Caenorhabditis elegans: one gene and its partner. The protein of the gene in region 2 purifies or fractionates together with the protein of the main gene of each other region. This does not show direct contact. Each region holds a gene or a part of one and is shown on either strand. Other genes may lie near its edges.

Region 1 (3,442 bases), 2.5 Mb from region 2:
TGAAATAAATCTACACCTGAAACTTGTTGTATTAGTCGGTGAACCCATACAATGGGAGAGAAAACTAACTATTTCGTCGGCCACCTGAAAATCGTTATGTGACGTCACTCCTCTTCAACCTCTTCCTACTGTTCTTTAATTCTCTCCTCGCACCCAGGACAAATGTTCCACCAATAGATCATATCTTTTACCAACGTGCACCTTCTATAACAGATGAGAAACTAGTCGCTTCTTTTGTCTTTTCTCAGAAGAAAATAGAAAAATAGAAGGAGGAGTAGGAAGGGATCACGATGATCGCATGTGGTCGTATGAGGTCACTCCGATCATTGGGAAAATGGGCGGAGTTTATGGTTTTTCTATTTTTGTAGATGCAAGAGCCGTCACTATAAAAAGGAAATAGACTGATGGGAAAATTAACATTTACTGTTTTAAAAATAAAATTATAAACTCAAAATTTCAAAATGAACTTGAATATTCTAGCCGTCCTACTCATCTTGGTTGTCATTTTGTCAGGTAAGGTTCATTTCATGTTTTCAGTCAAAATTCAATAAATTAAAATTACAGAATGCGAAGCTAGCACACTCCGTGATATGTTCACTAAAAACATCAAAAAGCGTCAGGAAACCACTGGTGGAATGCAAGCTGCTTACTCGAAGCTTCTCCCTCCACAAGTTTCCGAATGGTTTTTGAGAAGACACTTCTAAGCAACTTCCTCTCATTCTGTATATATTTGAAGAAAACACTACGAGCAACACTTTTTCTGAACATATCGCTTTCAATTGTAAATCTCAACTTTTTTCTGTGAACAAACATAAAAATTTAAAGCTGATTGATGTGAAACTTGCAGTGTCAATCAGATATCTGCAGCAGACTTAGAAGTTTTTCGAGCTTTGGCAAATCTTTTTGTAATATTTTTTGGAGCGCACAAAATTACTGACACAGATAACTTTACTAATTAGCTTAAAATCATTTTGCATGTTTGTGATCAGACCACTTCTAATCAACTGAAAAACATTTCTAACGGTGACTCTAATTGGTCAAAAAGCTAATCAGAAATCATTTTTTTCTAAGCTGAAGTGGCTCGAGGTTTTCTGAGTACGTAAAAATTCAAACCTATGTTATTTTATTAAAATCAGTTTTTGATCTAATTTCCCTTTTAAAATTTGTTGTGGCAATTTTCAAAAAAAAATTTCAAATTTTGTACATAGTAAATCTGTAATTGTGAAATTTGCTGCACAGCCCTGGTGTCTACAAAAATACAAGTTTAACATTGGCTCGTTGACCATCGGTATTTTAAAAACATTTCAATTCATTTTGAAAATTTTCTACAGTTAAAAAAGTTGTTGAGATTCATGTTGCCTGGAAAATTTTGGTCAGACTGTGTGTCTTGAATCTTTTGCATTTCAGATTCGGTTTACAGTGTTTTTCCATTCATGGCGTATCTACAGTAATCATGTCAGATTTGTAAATAGTATAATAATATTGGACGGTAAAATTCTAAGGAAGTTAATAAAAAACGCTCAAAATGAAATCATATCATTGAAACGAAATTAATCGAGCAAGAAAATCTAATTATTTTTCTACTCATTTCCCCATTGGATATGCAATATACCTTATCTAGCACACAATAACAGCTCAAATTCCCATGGGTGATTGATAAGTAAGAGAAAGAGTGAAGGAGAAGTGTACATTTTGCTTGTTGTCTCCATCTGACTTCTTCGTGAATTCACTCACCACCCTCAGCAGCAGCTTCAAGTATTGCTTAGCAACGCGCATCCTGATATACTGATAAGCTCAGACCAGAAGCTCAGAAGACAGAAGAACTTGGAGAAGTAGAAGTAGTTGCACCTTTCTTTCTTTTTCATCTCTTTATTTATTTTTCTTCTTCTTCAACCGAGCCCAACTATCACCTGTTCTGTGAACTTTTTGATAGGAAAACATGAACAAAAATTATTCGTCTATTCAACCACCGAAGCTATTTGGTATTCGCTATAGGTATATATTTCTGTTCCTTCAAGTATCTAATGCTATTCGATACTACATTTGTCCAGAAGAATATGATTTCAAAATGCCTCACTTCACTTCTGTAACTCTTCTAATTATTATGTTATCAAATGCATTCTCTTTCTTTCATGGTCTTGATGGAAATAAACATAATTGGGAGGTTGTGCAAAAGTGTTTGGTAAGTTTGATTAGAGGGTTGAACAGTATTTTATAAGATTGTGCCAATTTTCTTCGACTTCTTTCAACAAAACAAAAAGTCAATCAGAGCAATCGCATTTCATCCACGGCTACTGTAGTTCGCATCTAGATCTTACCAAAATAGAGTATCAAACTTCTGTAAAAAATATCTTCTTGAAAAATAAATCTATTTGGCCATAAGTAGCTACTTTTCATAGAGACTCGCCTTATTTTCAAAAATAGTCTTTAGACCCCGGGAAGTATCTTTACTTTGAATAGCATATTATAGAAACCTGATAAACTTTCGAAACGAAAAATTATTCCAGACGACCGTAATCATCACCAACCTATTTAATGTGGTCATCTGTTTTTACTACTCTCTCAAGCTTAATGACAAGAATCCGGACAGCGAAGCTTACGTTCGGGATAAACTGATTCATTGGCATGAAGCATTCAGTGAGTTGATTTCAAATTAATCACTAAGCCAAAAAATGAACATTTGCAGTAACATTCGCCATGTTTAGTATTGCTCAAGCTGAGGCAAGATACTTTGATGCAGTTCAGGTGCTTGAGAAGACCAACGCAGAATATGGTTCTCGTTATCCGAAGAGATTCAAAAGATTTTCAATTAAGCATGAGAGCGAGGAAGAGAAAAGTGATTTGGATGGAGATAAAGGGAAACAAAAATCCTATAATTGATATACTTAGATCTTTTATTCTATTAAATAATTGAGATTACAAGTGAATAAGGAAAGAGAGTAAGATTTCAGAAAATTGAAAACAAGATCTTAAGACGATTCACGACCCACTATTGGCGGCTCTTGTTGGGTCCCAAAGAGCAAGTGAAAAGGCGGGTCTAATCATATGGTAAAGTACTGGAATCTTTAAGACCCATAACGTAAACTCGAGAACAATCTTTGAATCACATGAAAATGTTTATATGCCGTATTGCGAGTTATCATCTAAGTCCATTCTTCATCGTCTCATTGTTGCATATCGGATGCACAAGAAGATTCTGCACTGCATTTAATCTCCTCCACCCTAATGTCCTCCGGTTTCAGCACTTCAAATGAGACTTCTAGTCCAGCAGAAACCTTGCAGACCGCTGCGCTGTTAGTGAACGATTGCATGTAATGAGGAGCGGAGAAGACGGTCTGTAAAATAAAAATAAAAATCATTAAAGTTATGATAAAGTTACGATGCTGCATACCACAAGTTTCTTTCCTGCAAAAAACTCATATCCGTCCTGTACAACTTGATG
Region 2 (3,119 bases):
AATAATTTCAATATTTATATTTTTGTGGATTTGTCAATTGTTATAACGTTTTATGAAAGGTTTTAAATTTCTTTAATATTTTCTACATTTGGTTTTGGTAACCATTAAAAAATTTTGGAAATATTGAAATACTTACCTTCTCCTGGGAATACGACACGTCCAGCAAGTCTTGACATTTGTATTATTTTTCGGTGGTTGAGAGATCTGAAATTAAAATAAATAACTATTTCAAATTTGATAATTAAAAGCGGGGAGTGTACAGGAAGTTTGGAATCTATGATTTTTTGCGATGAATATTATTATTGGCAGGTAAATCTAGATTACGGTATTTTTCCTGTTAACAGCTCATATATCAGTCACTATCAGTTATCTTTGAATTTATCAAAAATTATTCAACTATGAAAATATATGAAAACGTTTCGTACGTAATATAAATTATAAATTGTTTTAAAATGCCAAAAATAAATTAGATAGAAGTTGTCAAAGTAGAGCCAAAGGACAGCAAAAGCAATGAAGAGGTACGGTAGCTTGGACTTTGAAGAAAGATTCTAGGTTAAGATTCTAGGAAAAAAAAACCATATTAGAAACAAATGTTCACCACTAAATAGTGAGTTGTCAATAGTGAATGAAAGCAGAAACATATAATCTTTGCCAGCATTGTAAACGCCACCTTTTTCAGCCAAAATCAATCGATACTACCTTATGATCACTTGGTACAGTGGGAAAGATGTTACCTTCTCATATGACGTCACATCTCCAGATATAAACTAGATTGATTTAGGGCTAGACGTACCAATTTGGGTAGAGGTAGGGGAAAGAGAAAACTATGCATTTTATAGAATATCTTGAATTTAATGAGTCTGAGCGTTTCGGAAATTATTTCCTATATCAACTGTATTAGAATTTCATATGTCGTTAGATATTATTTCAGGCAATGACAATTTTATTTAACCAGGAACCAATACTGTTAAAATAGATTTTAGAGACTTATTTAACTTAATTCATGTTTAAATCACCAAAAATGATATCATAGATATAAACCTACAACTTTTAGTAATTAAAAGTCAACTTGAACATAAATTTGACACAATTCCAAAATTTTAAAATTTGACGTTCCCGTTAGGGATGATTAAAAATCGTTGAAATCTATTTAAAGATTAAAATGAAACCAAATGATTTTAGCAGGCGTCTAGGGAAACCTTTCAATAGACTGGAAGTTGATAATATGTGAGGTAGTACGTTATATTGGACTATAAAATGAGGGAAAACCAATAATTTGATTTTTAAGAGGGTATATTTCATTTTAAAATAAAAGAGAACGAAGGGAATAGTCTAACGTGTTATAATCCAAACATTTTTCTTCTAAATGACATTGTAATATTATTTGAATTTTCAGATACTACAGCAATTTCCAGACTTGCAACTTTGCCGCGCTAAACAACACGCGCTACGACACTCCGCTCGCTCGCTTTTTTGTTTTTCACTGTTTTCAGCTGAATTATTTTTCTTTGAAGCGCGCTCGTCATCTTTTCTTCTTTTTTTTCTGAGTTTTCGTAAATATCAAATTAATTAATTTTAATATTCCTGCTGTTACATCTTTCTTAAAAAATCCCTCTGCTTGCCAAGACTATTTGTGAAATTTCAATTTTCAACGCCTTTTCAGAAAATGGCAAGCAAAGGTGCGGCCCGTGTCAGAAAGAAGGAGATTGTCAAAGTTGTTCATGGAGCGTTACTCAGAACCAATATTAAGTGAGTTTTAATTGGAATAAAAAAATACTTCAGCATATCTCAAAACTAATCCGAAAAGTTCAGTATTATTGTGTTTTCCACATAAATTTGCAAACCTATCTCTCAATTCCGAAGTCACAAAAAAAGTATAGTTAGTTTAAAAAAATTAATTTTTCAATAAAGAAGTAAAATAATAATGTAATTCCAGAGCACAAATGGCGTCGGCTGCTCCACCACTTGGACCACAACTTGGTCAACGTGGGCTCAATGTCGCGAATTTTTGCAAAGAGTTCAACAAAGAAACAGGCCATTTCAAACAAGGAGTCCCACTTCCCACACGAATCACTGTAAAGCCAGATAGAACATATGATTTGGAGATTTGTACACCGACGACGACATGGCTTTTGAAACAAGCCGCTGGTATTGGGAGAGGAAAAGCAAGTAAAGGTGAGAAGCATCTTATGTTCAAAGTTTGCAATTAAATCATTTTTTTCAGACGAAATCGTTGGAAAATTAACGGTAAAACATCTGTATGAAATCGCCAAAATCAAATCACGAGATAAAGCTTTACAACACGTCCCGCTTGAACAAATCTGTCGAATGCTGATAAAAACATGTAGAACATTGGGAATTGATGTACAATATCATGATTTGGATCCAGTCGAATTGAAAGAATTTTTAGTTGCCCGGAAAGAGAAAGTTGATGCTCAGTTGAAGGATTTGGCAGATAAAAAGGCGGCGAAGATGCTCCGAACCACTTAATAAATTTTGTTTGGTTATAGGAATATCCTCCTAGGATAGACGTTTTTTTCTAGTAATTTTTGTTGTTTTTGTTCGTTACAATAAATCTCATTTTTATTTTCTGGATTAATTTGATTACCAATCGTTTCCAGCGATTTTCACATATTTTTCCAGAATTTAATACAGATTAATATTTTCGAAAAATTTAAACATTTTCTTTTCACATTTTAATTCATCTCTATTCATTATGCAATACTCTTTTGGTTTTCAAGCATCCGACATTCCTCCGTTTCATTTATGTTTGCATTTCTGCTGGCATGAATGCATTTCATTGTGTCTCGATGAGAAAAAGGACAATTTCATGAGCTTATCAGTTACTTCGTTTTCAAAATTTTAATGTTGACCAGCCATTGATGTCATATTTTGTCTAAGAAGCTCAAGAACTATTATTTTTTGAAGCTTAATTTCGAAGAGCAACATTTTTTTTCATTAAAATTCAGCAGTCATTGTTCTTTAAAAAGTTTTGATTCTCGTTTTTAAACGATTTTTAATTCAGTCGAGAATTGAATAACTTCCCGATTTCCCGGCCACCATCGTTTAATACCTTTTCTTTATGAGACTAACTTCCAAGTATGCAAATTGCAAATCGA

What was found. Proteins that work in one complex are often made in the same cells at the same time.
Region 1: the proteins of mrpl-11 (region 2) and C23G10.10 fractionate together in Caenorhabditis elegans (co-fractionation; one large-scale study listed by BioGRID). This does not show direct contact.

The regions. Positions count from the first base shown.
Region 1 is NC_003281.10:6,212,550-6,215,991, reverse strand, and holds C23G10.10 (uncharacterized protein), read left to right. Parts: upstream 1-1,976; 5' UTR 1,977-2,068; coding exon 2,069-2,182; intron 2,183-2,507; coding exon 2,508-2,637; intron 2,638-2,686; coding exon 2,687-2,880; 3' UTR 2,881-2,922; downstream 2,923-3,442. Other genes in the region: C23G10.11 (Neuropeptide-Like Protein), read left to right, coding at 462-513, 565-704; Serine/threonine-protein phosphatase C23G10.1, read right to left, coding at 3,165-3,335, 3,392-3,442.
Region 2 is NC_003281.10:8,715,981-8,719,099, forward strand, and holds mrpl-11 (Large ribosomal subunit protein uL11m), read left to right. Parts: upstream 1-1,663; 5' UTR 1,664-1,666; coding exon 1,667-1,749; intron 1,750-1,936; coding exon 1,937-2,175; intron 2,176-2,224; coding exon 2,225-2,490; 3' UTR 2,491-2,587; downstream 2,588-3,119. Other genes in the region: B0303.14 (uncharacterized protein), read right to left, coding at 137-176.